2 linked regions of the Caenorhabditis elegans genome follow. The protein of the gene in region 2 purifies or fractionates together with the protein of the main gene of each other region. This does not show direct contact. Each region holds a gene or a part of one and is shown on either strand. Other genes may lie near its edges. The genes, in order: trr-1 and mys-1.

Region 1 (5,110 bases), on a different chromosome or scaffold from region 2:
ATACAACACGCCAGAGGCCTTGCATCAAAGCTCCACGGACAGGAAGCATATTTTCGAGAAGATATTCAGGTTGCAAGTTATCCACACATAATTCCAATGTTCTCAATCCTTGTGTAACTATGTTCGGACTCCCATTCATCGCACACACCAGTGGATCCATCAGAAGCGGTAGGTATGGCAGAAGGGAACTGAGTCGAACTGGCACAGTCAAACACAACTCGACGAAGAGCTCACGCATTTGAATCCGATGTTGACATGACTGAAGATTCTGGATTTTTAGTGTATTACCGATATATCAAAAAATGAAACTCACCGTCAATTTATTCAAGAATTGAAGAAGATTTGGCAGTAACTGCAGGAACTTTCCATACAAAATATCCTGAGCGCCACCACCAATACTGCGGAACAATGCACGAAGCAAAAGGAAATAGTTGAGAGGTTCACGAGCTGTTAATGCCAAGACAGTTGACTGTTTGAGAATCTCTGGGAGGTATGAAGTGAGCATTTTATCTCCATGAAGCCCAGAGCCATTGGCTCCGATGGCGGAGAAGATAATTTTGAAGAGCTTCACATATAGCATCGTCTTGTCATTGCTAACTTCCAGCAATTTCATTCGAGACATCAAGAATGAAAGCATCGTAGATGCGAAGAATGGCACTTCATTTCGAACCAAGAAGGTGTTCACCATCAATTGCAATGGATAGTTCCGATTGTAAATTCTTTCAATCAAGAAATCCATATACTTTTCGAAGATTTCCCGGAATATCGCATGGTCGATTGTTGTAAAAACGTTTGCCAACGACTCCAGAGCATCTTTCTCATCTTTTGTCCGCATTGAAGAATGCATTTGTGGTTGATTTCGAGTTGTTGGAAGCACGAATACATCCATACACATTACACCATATCGTAGAAGACGTTCGAATAAATCTCGCTCCTTCGAACAATGATACATATCCTGTGATGGCCGGGCGATTCTCAATTGTCCTGTCACGAATTTACACGTATGCATTATATACTTCACAAGATTTCGAGCTTCAACAATTGCCAATGGAGGAGGTGTCATCGTTGACATGGCGGTTAAAATCGCTTCGGGAGACGTTTTCTTTCCCTCTTTTGTTGGCGGAGGAAGCTTGTTCGGATCTCCACCACTCTCATCTGCATCTTCCGACGTGGATGGTTCTGATGCCAGGAATTCCAGCTCTTCAACTGAATCAATGGAGAGCCGACGGATTCTTCGTTTCGGTACTCCTCGTATAGTGTCCTTTGGGATATTCATTCCAGGTTTCTCGGCGTCTCTCTCATAACTTTTGTATTCGTAGTCTATTTCGGTTCCGTATTGTTGGAAGAGAATAGGCATGTGATAGACTGCAAGAGTTTTGAGCTTGGCCACGTGCGACTCCAGGATTTCAATGAGCAGATCACGAGTCTGAAACTTATTTCGAAGTGAGATACGATTATTGATAGAATAAGTCTTACGGTATCATGTGAATCCATTTTGCACAGAGATTCGGCCAGTGAGTTGAGCAGCCGAGCAGACATAATCTGGACTTGAGAAGAGTTGTTAGGATCGTGAAGAGTGCGACAGAATACGAAAATCACGCTGAAATTTCAACATTTTTCATCAGAAAGTCTTATTCAAACTTACTGTGTGATCATTTCATAGTCTATAGAATTTCGCATGTGATGCAACAGATCTGCTAGCATTTGATACATGAAAACTCGCAAATGCTCAATCGCAGTGAATCCTGTTCCCAGAACAACCTCCTCAGCGATGAGTCGAGGTAGCATTGGAAAGAATTTCGACTTCATTTCTCCAGATGTGAAATACTTCAAAGCCATCAGAACTTCTCGTCGGACACTTATCAGATCAGCCGGGCACCGCTCGAGCATCTGCATTGTTCCCGACACTAGAAGCGGTCCATTTTGCATGATAAGATCCATAAACTGAAAAATAAAAATCAGGATTACAGAAAAAAAACTTGAAAAAACGAAACTTACCGCTGGAATCTTAGCCATAATGTTGACGAATGACAGGAATCGGGACTGTGCACTGACAAAATCATCGGTTATTATTTGATTTGTTTTGAGTTTATCCTCGTCTGGAACTCTGACATTTAGAAAATCAAGACCAAGCCTCATGAAATCAAGCGCTTCGGTTTGGATCGCTGTTTTGAAATGTTGATAGAAGAAAATCACGAGATACGGAACCTCCAGGAGCACCTTCGTTGACTGATGAGCTGATGGAATCATATTGTATTTTAATGGCGGTTTTCCTTCCGTTCCGTTGAGAAGAACCGTTTGTTGATAGTAGCAAGTCTTCAAATATTCAGTGATGACTTGCTCGTCGGAGCTAGTTGACGGTGGAGCTTTATGCTCTTTTATGTTGAACATATCACCAGCTCGACCACTCGCCGTCAGATCAATGACCATTGTTTTGAAGGAGACCATTATCTGTGAAACCTCTCCGCAATATTGCATTTTGCCGGTACTTCTCCCTTGATCGGTGACAATTTTGATAGCCAAATTGGCATTCTCCTCATTTTCCACGGTGATTAGCCTCATCATCTGCTTGATAATTTCTTTGCTATGATGTTTCATGGCTTCTACGTTCGAAAGTCGAAGAATGATTTCAAGCATTAACTTTCGAAGCTGTTGTGTATTGTTTTCAGCAATGAACTGTGGACTTGTGTTGCAGAAAACTTGTAGGAACGAGAGAATGAGCCTCTCCACGACTTTCTCGTGCGAACTTAGTGTGAAATGATTTTCGATTGTGCTCCAAATCTCCTGCAACCGAACAAATTGATTACTTAACACGAATTATTGAAACTAACTTGTAACATTTTCAATTTGACATCATCTCTTTGTGAATTATCGGCAAGATTTTGAATTCTCGTTTCCAGCTCTGTTAGGTGATTACTCCGATCGGACTGCACAGACCGATAGCCTGGAGAAGCCATAGCCGGATCCATTTTGTATTAGTGACCAGCACTGAAGATACTTCTAAACTATTGAGCTTTGTGCAACTATTTGAATAATTTATCTGAAACAAGATTTACGTGTTTAATTCACTAAATTGCGAAGGAAACAGATTATAAAATGAAGAATGGAGTAGAATGAACTATTAGGAAGTGAATGCAACAAGAAAAATCAGTCAGAAAACGCTGAAATTATCGGAAAACTGACATTATTTCAGCAGAAACAAAGAAACAACTAAATTTCAAACGAGAGCGAATTGTCTGCTGACGCGTATGTGTGTGTGTTGGCGCACTCGCGGTTGTTGGCGCATTTCACGTGCATTGCCACGAACGAGAGAGGAGATTTTATTGAATAAAAAAGATGTGACCTGATTAATATTTGACCCTTTCTTGACTTTTTCTTTTATTTTTATGATTATTAACAGTGTAATAACAAATTTCAGACACATGGGATCAGTTATAACCAAGGAAACGGTCTTACAGGAGAATATTTATCTGAAGAAACTCAGCGGTTTGGAACCTGTCGACGATTATGACCCATTTTGGAACAAACTTCTCTCTTTCAGTCTCAAGTTTGATGATGACGACGAGTAAGGATTAAAATTAGGCAAAAGCTTTAAAAATGTTATAATCGTTTAGAGACACCCGAATCGCTTTGGAATCTGCTTTAGATGATCATCTTCAATGTCTAATGTACAATACACAAACAACAGGAAATTTCGCTGCATTTATTCGACTTTTCCTTCGCAGAGCCACAGAACTAAAAACATCAGAACAATGCGAAAAGTGAGTTGGAAAAAAAAATCATCATTATATTTAATTAAAGCTTTTTCTTATTTCAGTAAAATCTACTTATGGCAAACATCAAACGCTCTTCTCATTCTTCGTTACATCGCCAGATTTTTAACTCAACGTATGACGGAAAAAGAATTCGTGAGGATTTTCGCCAAAAGTCATGAGAGTACGGAAACCGAATCGTCGTCTACATCTTCCTCGTCGGATGAGGAAGATGATGACGAACAGAAATCAGAAAACGAAAATAATAATGGAGGTAAATAAGCTTCATTTAAAAAAAAAATTCAATAATAATCAAATTCTGACGTTTTCAGCGACAAAATATATCCCGATAGTTTTTCAAAACACTGCAGAAGAGTTCACGTATGAGCTGGTTTCGATTTTAATCAATATTTCTGTAAAGTGAGTTTTAAATTATTTTTTAAAAAATTGAATTAAAATAATTTCAGCGAAACAACATTGGCAATCCATGTCGAAGCAGTTCGATGTCTCCTAACTCTCCTGAGCTCTCAACTATATAATGAATCAATTGTGAATACTTCAATTGTCTTCAGATTCTTTATTGATGGATCATGTGCGAAACACGCAGCTTCGCTCACTAAAACTCTTCTTCTCAATTATTTGATCCACAATTCAGAGTATCACATGACTGTACAAAAGCCACAAGAGAGCATTGTTTTTGGATTAGCTTGTATGTCACTGAAAATCTTTTTTAATTCTTTATTAAATTAAAAAAAAAACACGATTTTTAAGCATCAATGTGGTCAATGGTCCAAATGGCAACTGGTATCGACTCCGCAGAGGAAGAAAAGAAGCCCCCACTTACTCTTGGAAACTTAAGCATCCTGCTTCTCCTCAATCTTTCATGCCATCAACCTCTCAATTCATCCAATCCATTCAAAGAAACCCTTGCTCTCTTCCAAAATGCTCAAGAAGTATCCACATTGCCTACTCAGATTGTGTCGTTCAAAATCGATTATAATGGATTATACGAAAGATTGTGTGCTACCGCTGGCCAGGAACCTCCGATGCTTCTACTCTACATGCTTCTACAGGCGAACTCGGGATTCCGGAACTATGTGTTGTCTCGGATCAACCTCGAGAATCTAGTTGTTCCTGTTCTTCGAATTCTTCACGACGGTGTCGCGACATCGAACAACTCTCACCATGTTTATCTTGCATTGATTGTCGCCTTGATTCTCAGTGAAGATGATATTTTCTGCAAGATTATACACGAGACGGTGAGTTTTCACTAGAAATGCTAAGATTATATTGAAGTATATATTTGCAGATGATCAAGGATCTCGGCTGGCTGGACAGTGATTTCAGTGTCCGCGAGA
Region 2 (5,867 bases):
CATTTCTGGAATTAGCACATTTTATTTATAGTAAATTAATTACAATTCAATTACACAATTTTTGAAATTTTTTCATCCATTTCCCATAAAAAATATTATAAAACAACATAAGTTGTTATATAGAATTTTAATCGTTAAAATTAAAATTGAAACTTCAATAACTCACCCCTTTTTCCACGATATCCGGCCGTTTTGTTTTCTCCAAAAGCATATGCAACTGATAAATTTGCTCGTTATCAAGAAGGTCTCCAAGATCATTCTTTGTAGTTAAACTTTCAGATTTCACGAAATCATTAAATTGTTCAATATCATAAGAGCAAGAGTCAAGGCAGTCAATACTTTCCGGGTATATATCTGCAGCTAATTGTGTAGATGCTTCTCGAAATTCATCAAACTTTGAGTTCATTAAAAAATGATCTAACGTATTTGAAACTTTTTTATCTAGTTTTGATCTCCATAATGTGCACTGATCAAGACGATTTACCAAATTGAAGCGGAATGTAACAATATCCTTTTCAGATAAAGGTGAATGAATAAATTCAAATTGTGGGATTATTATAGTAACAATTAGTATAAAATATAGTGACATGATAGAGTATGGGTCAAACCGTCTTCTCTAATTGAAAATGGAAAATAGTAGAAGTAAACGGAGACGGCGGTAAACCTGAAACGACGATCAATTACTTTCTGTGATCGAAAGAGAAAAGAAATGACGAAAAAGATATATAGATTACAAAGAAGGTCGTATTCTTTCACGAGTGTTATGATAATCATAATGATCGGAAAATGGGAAGAAGAAGAAGGAAGAATAATAAGAAAAAGAGGAAAAATAAACGAGGAAGAGGCTCTCTTATCAATCTTGTTCGAACAGGTGTTTTGATGTGACGCGTTCAATCAGTTCAATGATTTTCAACTCTTCGTCTCTTCATCTCATCCTGTCACTTGTCGCTTTTTGATATTTGATTTTTTGTTTTCGGATTTTTTGTGTGCTTCGTAGTTGCTCCGATGATGCCGGATTCAACATTTGAATGTAACATTTGAATTTTGAAATTGAAGGAATTCATTTGAATCTAAAGCTTGCAGGGTCAAGACCGATACATTCTTGCAACACATGACTCGAAAGTATGTAGGAAAAATTGAAGTTGGAAACTTGGAATTTGATGAAAAAGTACAGTAATCCATTCTCTCTTATTTCGCAACTTTCTTCGATTTTTGATTTTTCCTAGATTTTTTAAGCTAAAATTTTGCTGTTTTATTTTCATTTTTCATGCTTTTCAATTTCGGTTTTCAACAAAATTATGTTTTTCAGAGAAAATCTCGTGAACAATAACTCGGCTACTGTACCATTTAAAGGCGCACACCTTTTCGCGCAGCATTGATTTAAATTTTTTTGTTCGTGGCTCAACAGTGCAATGGACATCTAGATATCTGAAATTTTACCACTGAATTCAGTTCATTTTTTAAGCATCTTCAAAAATTTGCGTTTTCCTAATTTTCTTGTGATCGTTTTTTTTTTGAAAGTACAATCGTACATTATAAATAACTATTTTTCAATTCGAATAATTTAATTCAAGATCATTTCGCAAAATAATTGCCTTGAAACGTTATGCCGCGGTCAATTTTCAACCACCCTTGTTATTCTTTTTTGAATTGCCGCCCTTTTTCCCTGTGGCCGGCGCAGTGCGGCCGAGGTTGGTTTCTAGGCCAGCCGGCGCGTTTTATTTTTTTCGAGCATGATTTCACAATTATTTCTTGCATTTTTAAAGTTTTTTATTGATAAAATAGTAAAACTAACAACGGATAATATTATTTTAAAATTAAAAAACTAGTTTGTTCATTTTTGGATCGATTTTTAGATGTTGTTCATGGATTATGCACGCAAGAAAGTACTATCGTTCACATTTGATTGCTATATTATTGAATATTGAATTTTTCACACAAAATTGTACTATTTCCAGATATTTATCATGACCGAGCCGAAGAAGGAGATTATAGAGGACGAAAATCATGGAATATCCAAGAAAATACCAACAGATCCCAGGCAATACGAGAAAGTTACAGAGGGATGCCGGTTATTGGTCATGATGGCTTCACAAGAAGAAGAAAGTTAGTTTTTACATCTATTTAAACACATTTTCCAATTATTTTCAGGATGGGCCGAAGTTATTTCAAGATGCCGAGCTGCAAATGGTTCAATTAAATTCTATGTCCATTATATCGATTGCAACCGAAGACTTGACGAATGGGTTCAGTCTGATAGGCTCAATTTAGCGTCGTGTGAGCTACCAAAAAAAGGAGGAAAGAAAGGAGCACACTTGCGGGAAGAAAAGTGAGAAATCTATAAACTTTTCAAAAGATTTTAAATAGTTTTATCAATTCATAATTATTTCAGTCGAGATTCGAATGAAAATGAAGGAAAGAAAAGCGGCCGAAAACGAAAGATTCCACTACTTCCGATGGATGATCTCAAGGCGGAATCCGTAGATCCATTACAAGCAATTTCAACGATGACCAGCGGATCTACTCCAAGTCTTCGAGGTTCCATGTCGATGGTCGGCCATAGTGAAGATGCAATGACAAGGATCCGAAATGTCGAATGCATTGAACTAGGAAGATCACGAATTCAGCCATGGTACTTTGCACCTTATCCACAACAATTGACAAGTTTGGATTGTATTTATATTTGCGAATTTTGTCTGAAATATCTAAAGTCGAAAACTTGTCTGAAACGGCACATGGTGAGTGTTTCGAGTTATAGAAAATGACCGAATATAAATAACTGTTTTCAAAATTCAAAAATTTTCAATTTTCCAAAAATGAAAGAATCGGTGAATTCGAAAAAATTCGAGTTCTTGTGTGTTTTTGGCTGAATTTTTCGGTTTTTCTTGCTTTTTCCGTTGATATTAGTTTTGAAACAATGTTTTTAAAATTTTCCGGCATCGAAAAAAATCGCAAATTCTGGGAATTTGCTCCAAAAATTGCATTTTTGAAATACTTTTTTGCGAAAACGAAAAAAAAATTCACAAACGGTGTTTCAAACCAAATTTATCGTAATCAAAAAAGTTTCGCAAATAGGCCATTATTCTGCGTGGGAATTCAAATTAAAATCAGCTACTTTTTCTATTTTGCAAAATGGAAAAAAAACGTAAAAAATAGACAAATTTTTAATTTTTTAAACAATTACATTCGGTCCATACTCTTCATTTTCTATCATTTAATTAAAATGCCCAATTCTAATTAATTTTATTTCAGGAAAAATGTGCAATGTGTCACCCACCTGGCAATCAAATCTACAGTCACGATAAACTTTCATTTTTTGAAATCGACGGCCGCAAAAACAAAAGCTATGCTCAGAATCTATGCCTGCTTGCCAAACTTTTTCTGGATCACAAGACTCTTTACTATGACACGGATCCATTTTTGTTCTATGTGCTAACCGAAGAAGACGAGAAGGGTCATCATATAGTTGGATACTTTTCAAAAGAAAAAGAATCAGCTGAAGAATATAATGTTGCGTGTATTCTTGTGTTACCTCCATTTCAAAAGAAAGGATACGGAAGTTTGCTCATCGAATTCAGCTATGAACTCTCGAAAATTGAACAGAAGACAGGATCACCCGAAAAACCACTATCAGATTTGGGACTTCTCTCATATCGATCGTACTGGTCAATGGCCATCATGAAAGAGCTTTTCGCATTCAAAAGACGACATCCAGGCGAAGATATCACAGTTCAGGACATTTCACAAAGTACATCGATTAAACGAGAAGATGTTGTGTCAACGTTACAGCAACTTGATCTATACAAATACTATAAGGGATCATACATAATTGTGATTAGTGATGAAAAGCGTCAAGTTTATGAGAAACGGATTGAGGCTGCGAAAAAGAAGACACGAATTAATCCAGCAGCTCTGCAATGGCGACCCAAAGAGTACGGAAAGAAAAGAGTGAGTTTTTTTCAATCAAAAATTCGTGTTTACGGCTAAAAACTGAAAATTAAAATTAAATTAAATTCGTGATAACATTTTTTTTTCAAAAAACCAAAAAAAAACAATTTCGTTTTTGGCAGAACCAAAAAAAAAATTTAAAAAAAAACGGTTTACGCCCTATTTCATACAAACAACAGAAATTGCACTTTTTTGAGCAAATTTGACCCTACAATTTTTTTCCAGTTTTTTGCTCTTTTTCAAAAAAAAACACCTAAACACTGGAAATACTAAATACTAAGGAAAAAAATGGAAATACTGGTTTACAGTGTCAAAAAATTGAAATTTTCTAATAAAATCATTTTTCTTTTTACTAAATTTATCAAAAATTTATAACTCAAATCTTTCAGTTTTTGCGAATTTTTTTTCGAAAAAACGAAAAAAAATAAACCTAATTTTAACCAAATTGTAATTTTGAAAAATCTGGAACGTCCGGAAAACTGAAAAATTAAAAAAAAAACTTTTCAGAAATTTATTTTTAAAAAACCGTTTTTTTAAATCAAATTTTGTATATGTTGATGAGAAAAAAAAATAGAAATCAATGTTTTTAAGTTTTAAAAGAAAAATTTATTTTAATTATTTTAGTTTTAATAAGGTATTTAAACAGTAACAAGGATGTCGGTTTTTCGATTTTCCGAAAAACTAAAAAATTGTCTTTTTCGATTTTTTAATCGAAAAAAAATAGAAATATTTTCACAAAACATACTATTCTTCTAAAAAAAAGAATAGTGGCAGATTTTAAATAATTTTTGAACTCTCGCAATTTTTTTCGAAATATCCAAAAATCGAAAAACCGGCACAAAAGCAAAAAGTCTCCGGGAATATATCTTTAAATTATTTTATGAACTTTTTTTTCAGGCGCAGATCATGTTCTAGCAACAACGACATGTGTTCTCGCCACGACGATCTCAACCTGTACATTAAAATATAACACTCCGTTTTATCTCGCATCTACACACCGAAAAGCTTACGCTATCCCTTTATCATTCCCACACCGCTCAGAGAGCGTACGCCTCATTTCATTTCATTTGTTCTGTGTAATAATTTGACTTATTAGTCACTTATTTTTTTAATGAAATTATTCTTGAATTTCATAATCTTCTTGTTGCAGTTCAAATAATTAAAATTCATCATATAGACAAGTAAGTTTATAACTGCAAAAGTGAAGTTTTCTAATCATTAAGCGTTCTGAAGATATTCGGCAACCGCCTGAGCGATCAGATCACGGCGGGAACGAGTTGAGGCGTAGACATGCTTGCAGCCAGTGACAACCTGAAAGATATTCAAAAAATTAATTTCAGGACTCGAATTTTTAACAATCTGAATAAAAAAATCCAAAATTGTATATTATAGAGTTTTTTGAAATCTAAGCGAAAGCGCGCTCCAATGTAAAACGAAAAGTGCTCCGCCCCTAAACGTTGGGTCCCGTTAGGAATTTGTTATTTTTTCGGTTATTTCTGACTATATTATAATTTCGAAACGACAAGTATTTTAAACATCATTTCGACATAAAAAATATGTAAAACAACAAAAAACAATCGAAAAAATAGTGAAAAAGTTTGAATTTACAGTCTCGCCGCCTCCTACCGAGACCTAACGTTAGGAGGCGGAGCGTTTTCCTTTGGCATTGAAGCGCGCTTGCTGCGGCCCCATAATTAATAACTTACAGCCTTTGCAAAGTCCTTCTTCTGTTCATCCTCAATCTCGTCAATGTATTGATTGGACAACTTCTCAATCTCGGACTGTTCCGCATTTTCATCCTTCAATTTTTTGTATTGAGCCTTGAATTGAGCCACCTTCTCCTCTCCGAAAGCCTTAACCGAATACTCCTTACAAGCTTCTTTCAACTTGCCCTCGGCCTTCTCCTTGGCATCTCCGGT

Evidence for each region.
Region 1: the proteins of mys-1 (region 2) and trr-1 purify together in Caenorhabditis elegans (affinity purification with western blotting, with the first as the bait; one study listed by BioGRID). This does not show direct contact.

The regions. Positions count from the first base shown.
Region 1 is NC_003280.10:11,672,888-11,677,997, forward strand, and holds the start of trr-1 (Transcription-associated protein 1), read right to left. Parts: upstream 3,041-5,110; 5' UTR 2,970-3,040; coding exon 2,832-2,969; intron 2,785-2,831; coding exon 1,999-2,784; intron 1,945-1,998; coding exon 1,646-1,944; intron 1,601-1,645; coding exon 1,477-1,600; intron 1,433-1,476; coding exon 314-1,432; intron 269-313; coding exon 1-268. Other genes in the region: C47D12.2 (Dymeclin), read left to right, coding at 3,423-3,565, 3,615-3,761, 3,818-4,026, 4,085-4,172, 4,220-4,461, 4,524-5,011, 5,062-5,110.
Region 2 is NC_003283.11:7,080,754-7,086,620, reverse strand, and holds mys-1 (Histone acetyltransferase Tip60 homolog), read left to right. Parts: upstream 1-1,958; 5' UTR 1,959-1,967; coding exon 1,968-2,106; intron 2,107-2,151; coding exon 2,152-2,329; intron 2,330-2,392; coding exon 2,393-2,738; intron 2,739-3,252; coding exon 3,253-3,948; intron 3,949-4,845; coding exon 4,846-4,863; 3' UTR 4,864-5,076; downstream 5,077-5,867. Other genes in the region: VC5.2 (Laminin EGF-like domain-containing protein), read right to left, coding at 167-589; npa-1 (Polyprotein allergen nematode domain-containing protein), read right to left, coding at 5,167-5,259, 5,655-5,867. UniProt on the Caenorhabditis elegans protein: Probable catalytic subunit of the Tip60 chromatin-remodeling complex. Plays a role in acetylation of nucleosomal histone H4 and perhaps also H2A, probably acting as a component of the Tip60 histone acetyltransferase complex.